Linked DNA regions of Rhinolophus ferrumequinum. The protein of the gene in region 2 interacts with the protein of the main gene of each other region in a biochemical or structural test. Links are inferred from orthologs where the notes say so. Each region holds a gene or a part of one and is shown on either strand. Other genes may lie near its edges.

Region 1 (7,895 bases), on a different chromosome or scaffold from region 2:
AAATCATCGTGAAAATGAATTGTGTCAACTGTTTATTAAGGCCTACTGTATGTCAAGCAGTTTTAGGCACGAAGGAAGCAAAGTTAAAAACACAGGATTCATGAAAGTTCTCGAGAACTTGTAGTCCAGTAGGGAACAATGGTATGTACATGTGTCTGTATCAAAACCAGACTTCCTTTTTAAAATGAACGTGGCCCTTATGCTCTCAGGGTTGGGCTGTGTGTATGGAGGGGTGTATCCACACGGGAGGACCATAAACATCGTGGACAAGCTGATGGGGTCCCCCCAGCACCCTCCTCCCCTGACATTCACGTAGAAAGAGCGCTGTAATGTATAAAGTTTAAGCCCTCACTGATTGCTGACAGCATTACAGGTTTGCTTGGCAAGAACTGCTATCCCCATTTTTCAGTTGAGAAAATGGAGACTGAGAAATATCAAGACACCTGCGCAGCCCACAAAGTAGTACCTGAATCCGACAGAATCAGGATTATAAGCCAAGGCCTGATTCTCACCCCGCATTCCTCTTCCCACTGCTCTGAGGCCTCCCAGGAGGAGGAGGGCTGCTGTGACATGGCCATGGTTTGACCTCCCCTTGACCAAGACGCTCTGAGGGTCCTCCTACCTGTACTTGAGCTGCTGCTTTTGGCTCCTGATTTTTTTCCCACCTGTATCTCCATTCTGCCTTTGCCTCCAACTTCCCATCTCAGTGACAACATCTGCTTTCCCCAAGCCAATGTTCTCAGACCTGCAGCATCAGAATCACCTGGGAACTTGTTAGGAATGCAGGTTCTCAAGCCTCACCATAGACCTCCTGGATCTGAACCTCCGGGAGGGGCCTGAGCAATCCGAGTTCCGCGAGCTCTCCAGGTGGCGAGCTCTCCAGGTGAAGACTGCTGCATCCGGCAGCTCAGGAGCCACCCTGACCTAAGCGAACGGGCTAAGCATCTTTAGTCTCTGCTGCCCCACCGTGATCACCTGGCCCCGGCACACGCAAACTCTGTGACTAAAGAAGAAAGCCATTTGTCTGGTGCTGAGCAGCCGTCACAATGCAATCACACGCAGCCAAGCTCTTCAGGGCTGGCTCAGGCAGAAGCTTGACGCCGGGTCAGAGGCTTCCTCCTTCTGGCCTACTTTCCACGGAGGCCCCACTTCTCAGGTCAGCAGTGCAGTGGCCTTTACCTTGACCCCTTTCCACCTCATCAGACCCAGCTCTGGGCTCTTGGGCGAGGAGCCACCGCAACGGTACGGCTCTGTCGATACATGTCTGTGTCCCTTAACTATGAAATGCAGCGAAGGCTCCCAGCTTTGTTCCAGGCAGCAGGTAAGGCTCACTCCATCTAGATTAAATGCTAACAATCAAATACGACCCTCATAATTATGCTACTTTCTATAATTTATAAAATTCTTTTGTAACTCTCACAAGGATCAGAAAAGCTAATTTTGAAACTGGGATTAGAACCCAGGACTCCTGTTTCATTCCCTAAGGAACAAGCTACTGTAATATGTCAAACATTTAATAAGTTCTTGTTAGTAATTAGTGGAGCTATTACAAAACAGTAAGTTCTGGTCACTGTGTAAGGGCACAGGCCCCATGTCACCAGAGCATGTTGCCACATGAAAAGAATGTCCTTTGCACAAGCCTAGTCCATTAGAAATAATGCAGGAACATGCTATTAAACAAAGAATAACTTCCTGGATCCAAAGCCCCAAGTTATAAAAAGGGCCACCTTTGTAGCCCTGCTTTGTGGAAATCTGATGATTCTCTCATCTACTTCCTTGATTTTGATGGAAAGGTCTCTAGTTTCCTCTTACAAATAATGGAAAGTGGTTACTCTATCAACATTTAATGTCTGTAGCAGCAGCATGGAGGTTGCCTCACAGTCACTTCTTTGACCATCGACATGGTATTTATGCTCAGTTCTAAAATACACAGAAATTCCTCTTGAGAAATGAGAAGCTGTCAGAGGTTAGAAACACACACACAGATACACTCTCTTCCATATGTTCCAAAGACATGGAAATATGCACACGCATGATCAGATAACCCTCCCATTCCACCTTCTTATTTTCATGTCTTAGAAACTATCTCTGTGGGAATGTGGGAACATCCCTTCCCACATTCACACCCAGGGACAGATTCCCGGAGAAGAGGTGGAAGAAAGAGAAGCAGTAAGATTCACAAAAGACTCTAATTTGGAGCATTAATAATAGAGCAGCTGAAAAGCTTGCAAAAGCAAAGAAGGGCCCTGTTAACAAAACATTCAGGGCACTTCCCAGAAACTGGCCAGACACAAGATTGCTATTGACAATGAGGAAAATCAGAGCCCGAATCAAATCTCAACTGAGCAGACAGATGTGCAGAATTCGCTGTTACGATTAGCATTTTTTAAGAGAGCAGTAGACTCCATGAGTTTGACAAAGGAAGAAAAACAAAAGATAGCCAGAGACTCATTCTGGATAAACAGTTACCATTCTGTATTCACAACTCTACATCAGCAACAGCACCTCAAGTAAGGCACAAGGTGGGGTCCTCTGCAAATTTGCACACCATCATACCAATTATCCATGCTGCGTTTGTGCATGCGGTAAACACCTTGGATCTGCACCACCTCTGTGCCTCCCACCCACCCCGACTGGGGTAAACCCCACCAAATGCAGAGAAGAACCCCTTTCTGTCTGAGAACCAGCCAGAACCTAAGCTGGCATTACACAGCAAAAACCTACGAGAACAAAAACCCAGCGGCAGACTGATGTAGAAAACCCAGAGCATACCTGAATTCTTCAAATGCGAACATGACCTAGTCAGAGACAATTTCCTTAGATTGTCTGGTAGCCTTTTTGGTTTGGAGGACAACCATTTAGTCAGTCAGATGGTGCAAAGTGCAGGAAAAAGAGGCGGGGTTTCCACACCCCCCAAGATTCTGAAGTAAAAGGCTTTCTGCAGACAGGGGCCTGCAGCCGCCAGCTCTGCCAGCTGCTGACAGGCGGCAGCTAACAGGGGAGGCAGCACGAAAACCATGTGATCATTCCAGCAAGTCTGATTAATGCAGTGTATGCTTAGGCTCCAGGCTGGGAGCTGGATTAGTCCAGGGAAATAAGTGGAACCTCGGGCACGCCTGGGATCCTCGGTGAATCACAGAACACATCCCACCTCCACCCAGAATTCTGCAGGGGGGCAAAAGCAAAAAGGAATGAGAATGCAACCTGTTCTACTGCGGTCTGCCTGATTACCTCATCTTCCTGTGGCTGCTGCTGCTCTAATGACCAGGTATGACCACCGTGGTCAGCGAACATGGTGTAGTGAAACCCAGCTACACTGGACTGAAAATTCTGCAGAATTCTGAATCTTACCCATCCCTACCAAGCATTACTTTATCACAAACGCATGAACTGCTTTGGAATCACAAAAGTCCCATTTTATGCCCACCTCTTTACCATGAACAACGTGACCTTCTAGGTCAATCGTGATGGCTGATCTCATTTATTCAGTTATTCATTTATTGAGTGTCTAATAGGTACCAGGGTCTTATCAATTCCTTGATGTACAAAAATTGCCGTAATAATTTCAGAACAGAAGTTTAAAAAAAAAAAAAAAAGAAACGAGATGTCAGCCAAAAAAGGGAAATGTTTACCAGTTTGTAAAGCCCAAGCTGGCAAGATCTGGCAAATGAGCTGCGACTGCATTCTGAACTTGCCATTAAGAAGAGTCTTTCTCATTTGGACTGCAAATCTGTATAAAACAAGGGAGGCAGATCTTAAATAAAAACCTGTGAGTCACTCTTGACTTTTTTCTCTCCCTCATACCACAAATATAATCACTAATTCTGATTCTACCTCAAAAAGGTTTCTCTGAATCTGACCCTTTCCCCACGCCCACCAACGGCCTGAGCTCACACCTGCAGCATCATGCCTCCAGCATTTCTCACTTGGTCTGCTGTGTTAGCAACTGGTCTTTCCATCCCTTCTCTCAAAACCTGCCAGAGCAATTTTTCTAAATCTGATTTTCATGCCCCCTATTTGAAACCTGCATTAGTTTCTCAATGCCCATAGGATTAAGTGAAAATGCCTGAGCCCAGCATACCGAATCTGACTTCTCCAACTCTTTCTTCCATTAAAACTCTTCACAAACCCCCAAATCTAGCCAGACAGCCCCAGTTCCCTAAATTTGCCAGGACCTCCTTTCTTTGGTCCATGGGCCAACTGCCCAGATTATCCCTTGCCCCCTACGTGACCTGCGCCCTTCCAAGCAGTGCATACTGTTCCCTCGGCTCCGTCCCCAGGACCGTTAGCCACTCGCTCTCCCTGCTGCCGGTGGCACCGCCTTACAGCATGCTGCGTGCGCCCCACGCATCTGTGGTCCTTGAGGACGCGGGCTGCGGGAGACTGTTTCTGTATTTCCAGTGCCTGGTACGGAGCCTGACAGAGGTTCGCTGAATGAACCTCCTTCTGTGCAGCTTTCTACCAGGGAGAGTGACCTGGTTCTTGTATGAGGTGCTCTGGGATGACCGCACCCCTTTTCTTACGTTACCTCTATCATGAAGAGAAGTGAGAGTCCAGAACTTGCCGCAAAGAAATGAAGCGATAATGGCCAACTGAGGCGGACTGATTAGTGAGAAAGAAATTTTGGGGAACCCCATGGTCCCTCACACCAAATAGCAATCATCAACTAAGAGGATCCAGAACGTCTCCCACAATATTCCGCACAAGTCTCTGCCTGAGACCTTCTAGGGGCAGAATCATGGCATAACAGAAAACACAGGAGTCAGCCATTAACTAACCCAGGCTGAAGTCCCAGCTCTGCCTCTGTGATCACTGACAAGCAACGTAGTCCCGAGCCTGGGATTCCCCAGAGGTACATCTGGAATAATGTGGACACTGCCCACGCCTCTGTCACAGAATGCTTGTAAGGACCCCACAAGGTGGGACAGTGGAGTCGTGAGCGGTCTTCATCACGTACACAAATTTTATAGGAACATTCTTCCTCCCCTTTGTTACTTCACAAGCCGGTCTCCCCGGGCAGAGCTGATAGCTGCCGGCTCTTCGTGCTGAGGCCACCCGCCTCCCTCAAGTGTTCTGTCTGCCCGTTCACTGGTCGCTTGTTTACTTTTGTTTTTTTTGAGCGGAAGAGGAGCAAGGAAGGTATTGCTGTCCTGTGATTCTCAGGACAAGGGATGTGTGGATATGTGTATAAAATCACTGTCCTAAATCCTAAGTTAAAAAATAAAGCACTGGAGCTGACCTAAGTCTTGGGAAGAACAACTCACCCACACCAAATACAATTATATGATGTTTTTATTTATTAAACTACCTGGGGTTAGTCAGATAAGTGGGGTTGGGGCAGCTGGTTATCAACCAGTTGCAAGCTTCCCGAGGGCAAGGAGACACTCAGTATTACGTGATGGGTTTGCTGGTTGGTAGAAAGGCCAAAACCTCCATTCCTGGCACTCTTTGCAAGGTATGGAGAGGAGCTGCAGGGGTCTTAACTCCCAGCCGTCTGGCCCAGTGGGAACTGGCCTTTCCCCTGGCCACCAGGCAGGCCCAGTGTGACCGGCCTGGTGGGACGGAGAACCTCTGGACTTTGTGCCTTTCTCTACCAGTGACTCAAGAATCGCCTCTTTCAGGGCCATTCAGAAGGGAGAGCGCAGAGCGGACAGAAACGGTGAAAAATCTCCAAATCCTAGCACCAAGTGTATTTTAAACAGAATTTTATGAGATCCCCCAATTTACTAATAAGGTACTGGGTGCCAAATGGTTAAGTAACCTGGCCAAGGTTATATTGCTATTAAGTGGCAGAGCAATGACTTGGACCCAGGTCCAAGGTTTTTAACCTCTGTGCCCTCCTGGCGTCCCAATACCAATGATCCAACTGCCCCAGGCTGCCTCCCTGAGAGACTGCCAGGCAGCCTGTGCCTGACAGAGGGCTGGGACATGATCACTCTCTGGGGTTCTTTCATCCTGCTGGACCCTGGCTAATCCCCAGATTTCACGGCCAGGCAAGAGACCGCTAAGGGCTCCAGAGAGCCTCAGCTGCCCCAGGAAGGAAGGGGTGGAAACCTGAGTTGACATAGTCTCAGGACCAGGTTGGGAACTGGGTCTGCTTCCAAGGCTGGGTGCTCCCATGTGACCTCTTGATAACCGGTAACACCAAAGTGTTAGGAATAAGGACATAAGTAAGGGTCCCTGACTCCTGACCACTCCACGCCTCACTCAATGGCACTCCTGTGACCACACAGTGTTGGGAAAAAAAAGTCATCCCAGGTCGTCCACCAATGACTCAAGGCTCGGAGAAAGCATGTTGCTACTCTGGGACTTGTGTGTCCTTTGTCACTTTCAAGGAACAGCCAGATATTAAATTTTTAGCCTTCTGTTTTCTAAAATACCACTTCCGTGGAAGGTAAAGCTGATAAGAACAGAAAACGGATCCAAGTAGCCAATTCCGGCCGAAGGAATGAAGAGCCCGAGTCCCTGCTGCCGGGTCTCCTCTCTCCCCAGCAGGGACAGGCCCTGCCGCAGTGTGCAACCACCTGGCCTAAGTGACCTGGCAGCTCGTCAGTGCCAGCACCCAGGGCCTCGCCAGGCTCATGTCATCACACTCAGCCTAGTTAATCTGGACTCACTCCCTCTTTCTAGTCTCATCCTAAGCACCAAAGCTTCCTGACTAGGCCCTGCTGCCATCTGGGCCTGGCCTGCTGCAGTTACTGGACGTGTATGCTGGCATCTCCAGAAACAAAACAGATACTGAACAAAAACATGATGGTGAACATGAGGTATCCCCCGGCCCCTGACAACTGGGGAAGCTAAATGAGAGGGATGTTTGAAATCTATCTGAAACAGTGCTCTTAGCTTAACAGGTTCAGCAAGCAACGTCTTTCCCCATGAAATGGTCAATTTCCCACAAAGGTGAACTTCGGATTTGTCGGTGCCAAATCCTCACCCCAGCTCGTTTGGAGGCTGATGGTCTGAGAGTGTAAATCCCTGTGGGTTTGCCTCACAAGCAGTGTCTCCTCTCCCACTGTGTTTAGGCTGTAGGCACACAGCCCTGACATGATGTACGTGCAGCAAAATAAAGACGGAGCAAATGAAGAGAGTCTAATGTTCCCATCAAGTAGAACAGAAACGCTCTTCTGACACTTACAGAGGTGCACGCGCACTGCTGAGCTGTGTATAGACAACCAAGAGGAGACTTAAATGCAAATCAGTTACAGTCATGACTAAAAATACGATTCTTTCCTCACGGCCCATCCGTGGGTTTTTCCAACAAGCAGGGGGCCGAGTGGAGGTAAGAGGCACTCACAAGTGTCCTCACTGGAGCCTCACCTCCAGCACCCTAATTAAGACTCCCCTCACCTCCATCTTCCTGCCTGCCTTCCTCCCTGTTGCACACAGCCACCTGTCCTGGCACCTTCCAGTTGAAACCCGCAGAATGAAGTCTCGCCCCCAGCCTGGCATTCAGCTCCTCCACACACCTCCCACACGTGCCAACCAGATCCCCACTGACCCGGCACACTTACTCACGCCACCTCCCCTGTTCCAGAGCTTTCCTCCTTCCGCCTTCTCTCCACAACGGTTTGGAAAGTGTGCTTCTGAATCCAGTTCAACTGTCAACCTGAGAAGCTTCGGACAAATTCTTACCCGTCTAAGCCTCAGTATCCTAATCCGAAGACGGGATCACAGCACATCTGGGGGTGCCCCAGAGGTGACCCCCTGGCACACATGAACCACCATCGACAGCAGCTAACACTGTGGCATATGCTTCAAAACTCCATCGAGTTCCCCTCCTAACATAAACCAGCCCATGGTGACCATGACAACTTCAGAATGCCTGAGAGGCAATAGATATATATTTTTAATCTCACATATCGGCCTGGGCTGAGGAGTAGCCGTTGTCCATTACC
Region 2 (7,373 bases):
GGAGAAAAGGTAGGCCCCAAAGATCAAGGAGCTGGAATCTACAAATCTGCATTAGCTGCTGATGTGGCTGGAGTTTGTATTGCTGAACTGTGGGGGAGCCACCCCCACTTTGCAAAATCAGAAGCTAATGTTGCCAGATGAACTGCCAAAAGCAGAAGGACTTCTCCCTTCCTCCCATCTTCTTCATGTGAAGGTTCCCATTGGTAGAACCTCGCTGTAATAAAGAAACAAAAAAGTCTTGAGAACTGTAGTTTTCAGATTTCCAGCCCTGTTAGTACAGGGGAGATTATAGAAGAGTGGGTGTGGGAATTAGTACCAACACACAATATCTGCCACATGTATTCGTCATAAGTCTGGTTTGCAAGTGATAAAACCCAATTCAAAGTGGTGTAAGCAAAAAGGAGATGTATTGACTTATGTTACTTCAGGCAGAGGTAAATATAAGTGCTAAAGTGACGTTATCGGGCGTCTGTCTCTCTCCCTCCCTTAGCTCTGCTTCATTCTCAGGCAGGCTCATCCTTCTTGGTGGCAAGATATCCACCAGGCGTACGTTCTACCAGCACTTCTTGCCCAACAGTTGCAGGAAAATTCCTGGATCTGATTTTCACTGACCCAGATTTAGTCATGTGCCCATCTCTGAATTGATCACTTTGATCTCATCATGGGTTAGGAGCCTAACACTGAAGTGGGTTGTGGGACCCACTTCAAATGATTTCCATTTGAACCACATAGACTTAGAGTGGTGAGGGGACGTGTCTCAAAGAAAACTGAGGTGCTGTTGCCGGTAAAATGGGGAATGGATGCTGCGCAGATAACAACAGCAAACGCAACAATATGTTCATGACAGGATAATACCTATCTTGTAAGGTTTTTCTTCTTTTCCATGCAACCCTCCGTCCCTTCCTCAGCTAAACACTTTGAAAATATTGAGGTCACTAGGCATGCAGTACCTCAACCTCTTGCCTGCTCCCACTTTATTAATTACCCCATCTACACCCGTGTCCTCACGCCTATCCCTTTAGCCTGTAGAGTTAAGGTTTCCAGTTCTCCTGGTGAGCCCTTGATCCCACCTCCTCTCATTGCCTCCAGGGTCTTGCTCCATCTCTCAGATGCTTTTTTCTTTACTTTCAAATTCATCTTCTGCCCTGGTACCTTTTTGTAGTGTATGCCCATGTTCAAGTCTCTACCACCTTAAAAAGAAAAGACAAATCAGAATCTTTAGCTTCATATCACTTTTCAATTACTGTCCATTCTTTCTTCCAAATTTCTCAAGGAGGCATTCTGCACTTACTAAGTCTACTTCCTCATTTTCATTTGCTCAACTCATTGCATTATGGCTTCTGCCTCCATTTTCTGCTGATACAGATCACATCCTGGGTATCCATGGCCTCCATGTTACCAAATTCAAAGGATACTTTTTGCCTTGACCTTATTGGAAATCTTTGCTGCATTAGATGCTGCTGACCACTTCTCCCTCCTTGAAAATCTTCCCTCCCTTGGATTTATTCCATGACACTACTCTCCCCTGATTCTCCTCTTACTGTCTGTTTCTTCTCAGTTTTCTTCTTTTCCTCTGCTGGTTCCCCAAATGTTGGCATTCCCAGAGTTCAGTCCTCAGTCCTTTTCTCTTCTCACCTTATATGCTCTCCCTGGGAATGTATTAAAATAGTCCTGCCAAAGAAGGATGTTGAAGAAGTCCTTGCCAGACCCAACATCTGACTTATAAATTCCACTCCATACATTATGTGGGAAGATTTTACTCCTTATACATTTTCCAAATGATAACAAACACCCAGAAGAAAGAGGGTTTATTGGATCAACTACAAGAAAAATTACAATACCAAAGCAATACTTACATGTAGTGGTAGAAAAAGCTACCTTTGCTCCACTTCGTGACTTTGCTCCTAATACAGATGAAAGCTCTATTCTTCCATATAGGTGACTTGGGTGCCAACTTCCTGGTAATGCATAAAGCCAGTGCTCTTGATTAAATGACTCTGAATGGATTTGCTTCTAATTCAAGTTTTTCTTGATAAGTCCAAGGGAATAATATTAAAAGATTCCTGCCTCAGAGGGATCTACATTGGTTAGAACAACACACAGCATCTGAGGTGGTTCATAAGCTATTGTTTACTCCTAGGCCATGGAGAGCCTCAGAAGGGGGAAGAGAAACAAGTAGAGAAAGGATGGATGAAGGGCACAGGTTGACACCCATTGATCAGGAGGCGTTGCAGATCTCCCCCATTGAGGAGATCAGGGATTCAGGAAGACGGTGTGTGGGTCAAACTGCACTGTGTGTGAACTGCACATTTTCCTTTTGCATCTTAGCTAATTAGTCTACTCTTTCACACCCTGACCATCCTATCTGTGTTCCTCTGGTTACCTGAAGAGATTTCCCTGGATATTGCAGCCATCCTGCCCAATGGGGTTGGGAAGACAAGTATACTGATAATATTTCTGGCTTTTTATTTGCTCAAGCAGAAATTTGGAAGGCATCCTTTCCTTCATACTTTCATAGCCAATCAGTCAATTGATCACTGATTTCTATCTCCTGAATATTTACTAAACCCATATAATTGTTTCCATCCTCGTCCCACCACTATAGTCATCTCCCACCTAGACTATATCAATTGCTTCCTAACTGGTCCCTGCACTGCCAATTTTGCTCTCTTCCCATCTATTCCCCACTTAGCAGCCAGAAGTGATCTTCTAAAATGCAAGGGACAACATGCCACTCCCTTGCCTCAAACCCTTTGATGATTTTCCATTGCCCTTAAACTAAACTTTAAAACCCTCAGCGTAACATACAAGGCCCTTCTTGATTTGGAACCTACCCACATTTCCAGCTCCACTTATGCCATGCCTCTCCGCTATCACCCATACTGGCCTTCTCGTACTTCTCCTTTGACTTGGAATGATTTTCTCTTCCATGGCTGACCTCTATTGCCTTCACCCCATTCCCCTCACATAAGTGCCACTTCCTTCTTAAAGCCTCCCCAAATCTCCCCAGGCAAAATTTAGTCCACTTACCTAGCATCCTGCACATCTCATTCAAGATACTCATCACATTTCTAATCACGTTTAATGTGTCTTTCCCCTGTTACTTAAACTTCAAGAGGGCAGGAACTGAATCTTGTTTCTTCATGTGTGCTTAGCACCAAGGACAGTGTCTCACACATAATAATTATTAGTCAAAAGAGAATGAATAAGTGAATGAGGACACCTTTCTTCTCCTGGGTAACTCTTACTCATTTTCCAAGGACCAGGATCAGATGTTATATACTCCAGTTTGGGTTACAGTCAAATCGGATTCATCTTTGGATCCCTAAACTTAGCTCGGGACCTGGTACATGGTTCATACATATATCATAGAGGTTTGTCAAATCATAATAAACTCTTGGCCAGGAGTTGATAATTGTTGAAACTGAGTCATGGGTATATGAGGGTTCATTACACTGTTCTGTCTCCTTTTGTATACAGTTGAAAATTTCCATAATAAAACATTAAAACATTTATATTCACCTTAAGTCAAGTGAAAGTATAGTCAAAGACGTTCTTGAGGCTTCTAGCTTGGGCAAGCCAGTAGATGGTGGTGTCATTCTCTGGGATGGAGGAAGTGGAGCTGCCTCTACTCTTGTGTGTGTGTGTGTGTGTGTGTGTGTGTGTGTGTACACGTGCGCGTGCATGCACATGGAGTGTGTTGGGGAGCGTTCTTTTTCACCCCAGTGAAAATTCTTAGAAGGCCAATAAAGGGGATGAAATAACGAATTTCTATTTGGGCACCTTTAAGTGTTAGAAACCTGACGGCACCTCCAGTCAGTTGCACAATAGTAGCTACCATAAATGAAAACCTCTGCCTTAAAGGAATGAGCCATGAGAGGGTTTCAGGATGGTAACAATCCCCTCATGATCCTTGGTGGCCTCTGGGCCACTGATCTGACCACTGGGAACGATGGCACTATCCAGGCAATCTGCAGTAAACACTGTGCCCCACTATTCCTTCCTTCACACTTTTCACCCATTCTCCCCTTCTTCATTACCTCTTATGTATTTCTACTGGGGAGCGATTTATTGACACCTGCAAGGCCATGGTGTCACAGCTTTATGTTCAGCAGCAGGGGTAGGGTGTCTAGAAACATCTGGTTCCAGTCTGAGTTCACCACCTTGTGACTGCAGGCAAATCTTTTTACCTTTCTGAATCTCAGCATCTGCCTCTGAAAAATGAGGATAACAATAGCGGCGATTTCACAGGGGTCAGTCTGACGCGAGGATGAATGCATGTAAAGGATTTAACACAGAGCCTGGCACAGTGTAAGCGGTCAATAAATACGAGCTATTATTATCGCCAGCGCTGTGTCCTCATCGCCTCTCCACCAGGACGCCCGGGAGTGCTGCCGCAAGAGCGGAGCAAGCTGCCTTCTCGGAGCCCTCCCTGCGCAGCTGCGGGCTGGCCCCGCCACAGCCACCCAGGCTCCTACCCGGTGGGTGCGTCGCCCCACGGGGGTGCGGGGCGGGGCCCTGCCGGCGCACAGGGCGACTCCGGGGCCTCGGGGTGGAGGGCGGTGTCGGGCTGGGTAGGGGTCGGCAGACGCGTGGGTAGCGCTGTGGGACCCGGGAACCCCGCGCTGGCGTAGCTGCTGGCGTGAGGCTTCCGCGGTGGGCTCACAGAGGCCGCAGGGTGGCATTGGGTGGGGCCCTTCGGGACACTGCGTCCAAGTGCAGCCCCGAGCGGCTCGCGCTCGCGCGCCCGCGCTCGGCCCAAGATGGCGCCCCTCCCCCCGCCCGCGCGCGCCCTCGCAGCTCGGGGCGCGGCCCCGCGGCCCGCGCGCTCCTGGGCGGGGGATGTTGTGATGGAGAAGCCGCCGCGGAGCCCGAGCCCCGCAGCCTGAGCCACCTCCGCCACCTCGGCCTGGGGCCTCCCCGCGCAGGTAGGAGCTGCCCCGGCCCGCGCCCAGCCCCGGAGGCCGGATCCCGACCCCCAGCGGCCCGCGGACTGCGCAGCCCCTTACCCGTGGGGGCCCGGGTACCCCCGGCCAGGCCCCATCTCCGCTGGCAGTCCTCGCACCGCGAGCATTCCCACCATCTCCTGTTCCCCCACCTCCATTGTAGGCTCCACCTCGGTCCTCAGCACGGTCATTCCGGACCTTTACCTCCTGCCCCTCCGGGATGAATAGGGGGCAAGTATTGGAGACGCGAAGAGAGGGGCAGTGGGGGGTGGGGGATGGGGGATGGGAGGTGAAGGGCTGGGTAGGGGACGTGGGGTGAGGTAGGCAGAGGCCGCACGTTTTCCTGCAGGGTCCCAGGCCTGGAATCTGTCAAGCCGCATTCTGTCGCTCTCAGCGACCGAAAAGTGTGCTCTGGGGCCGGCTGTGTCCCCAGCTCTGCCAGGAGGCCTAGCACTCACAGAAGCACTCATTAGGAGCAGTGTTCCCACCGCCAATTCAGAGGTTGTTCCGAAACCTATTTTGAATCTGCCTGTGCATTTCTTGCATTCCAAACCTTCCAGCATAGCCCCAACTTACACCACTCTTCAAAGACAAAACCTTGTCTACACTTACTGTCTTCATTTCCTCACTTCCCATTCATTCTTAAAACCGGTTCACTCTGTTTTCTGTCTCTCATACTCAACTGAAACTGCTCAAGCCAAGGTCACCTGAGACCTCTATGTGGCCAAGTCCAATGCACACTTTACTGTTATCCCCTTTACGTTTTCATAGTATTCAGTGGTGTGTGTCAACTCTCCTTGAAACATTTTCCTGGTTTCTCTCCTGGCATTGTCTGCTCCTTCTCAATCTTATTTGATACCTTTTTCCTTTTCCTTTAGATGTCAGTGAAGCTCTTAGTTCTGTTCTGAGCTATCTTCTTTCATTCTGCACTTTCTCCTGGGTATTTTATTCACTCCCAAGGCTTCAAATTTCATCTCTCTATTTATCTATATCTATCTATATCTCTATATCTCTCTATCTCTATCTATATCTATATCTATACCTATAGGTGATCATACCTATACCTATAGGTATAGATATATACATAGATAGAGATAGAGAGATATAGACATATAGATAGGTAGAGATATAGATATAGATAGATAGATAGATATAGAGATATAGATAGATATAGATATAGATATCTGGCTCAGACTAGATTCAATATCCAACTGCCCTCACGACATCCTCTTGGAAGTCCAGCAGGAATCCAAACCTATAGATCCCAAGCTGAATTATCTTCCCTATGTTCCCTCTCTAGCCTTCTTCCAAATCTGTTCTTTCTTTAACTCTCAGAAATGGCTACTTTCTGATCAGTTACCTAAGCTGTAATCCTGGGCAACATTCTAGATTAACCTCTACTCCCTCACAGTCTACATCTAATGTTACCGAGTCCTGTCACATCCTGGTACCTAAATATTTTTCAAATGCATTCATTTTACTCCATCCCCACTGCCACCAAACTTAATCTAGGCCACAATCATTCTTTTCCCCTTGACTGGTCTAATAGCATACCCTCTTGCCTACCTCCCTATAACTACTCTCAACACAGTATGATCCTTTAAAAAATGTATCTGTTTGTTCATTTATTCATTCAACTAATATGCTTTGAGCACCTAGTATATACTAAATACTGTGTTAGGCACTGAAGATATAATTATGAACAGAATAGATTGGTTCCTTATCCCCTTGGAGTTGACAATCTGGGGGGGGCGGATTAAATAAGAATAAAATTACAAATTGTACTAAATACCATGAAGGAAATGTGGATGGTGCCCTGGGAACACAAAAGAGCACAAGCTAAACTGGTCTGGCGGGTAGGGAGAGAAAATCCAGGAAGGCTTCTCTGAGAACGTGACATTTGAACTGAGGTAAAATATGAGTAGAATTTAGTTAGGCTGAGAAAGTAGGGGAAGGAGGTTCCAGGCAGAAGGGAAATCAAATGCAAACACCGTGTGGAAAGAGACAGCATATTATCCTTGAGGAATCAAAGAAGGCCGATGAGGCTGGAGAACAGAATGCCAGAGCTGGAGAGATAGGCAGGGATAACTGAGCAGGACAACTGAGGCCATGTTACAAATTTTGGTCTTAAGGTCTTTGTTCTTGGTGTGGATTGTTGATGGTAGTGGATATGGAGAATAGATCAAATCTAGAAATATGTCTCAGAGAGAAAATTGTCAGTACCTGGAGATGGATTAAGTATAGGGAGTCAGGGAGAAGGTAGTGTCAAGGATGGTACCCCTACCTCTGGTTTGCACAACAGAATGGTTGGTCATATCATTCCACGATCCAGGATCCTGAAAGAGGACCACTTAGTGGTGAGTGAGAGAAACATGAGCGTGCATGTTTGAGAGGCCTTTGAGACATCCAAGTGGAGATGTTGAATGA

What was found.
Region 1: the proteins of APBB1 (region 2) and EVL form a complex in vitro, tested with the Homo sapiens proteins (2 studies listed by BioGRID). The link is inferred for Rhinolophus ferrumequinum from reciprocal best matches to the Homo sapiens genes APBB1 and EVL.

What each region holds. Positions count from the first base shown.
Region 1 is NC_046289.1:4,350,671-4,358,565, forward strand, and holds the start of EVL (ena/VASP-like protein), read right to left. Parts: upstream 3,079-7,895; 5' UTR 2,796-3,078; coding exon 2,773-2,795; intron 1-2,772. UniProt on the Homo sapiens protein: Ena/VASP proteins are actin-associated proteins involved in a range of processes dependent on cytoskeleton remodeling and cell polarity such as axon guidance and lamellipodial and filopodial dynamics in migrating cells.
Region 2 is NC_046294.1:45,383,322-45,390,694, forward strand, and holds the start of APBB1 (amyloid beta precursor protein binding family B member 1), read left to right. Parts: upstream 1-4,349; 5' UTR 4,350-4,481; intron 4,482-4,776; exon of another isoform or gene 4,777-4,928; intron 4,929-5,109; exon of another isoform or gene 5,110-5,177; intron 5,178-7,373. UniProt on the Homo sapiens protein: Transcription coregulator that can have both coactivator and corepressor functions. Adapter protein that forms a transcriptionally active complex with the gamma-secretase-derived amyloid precursor protein (APP) intracellular domain.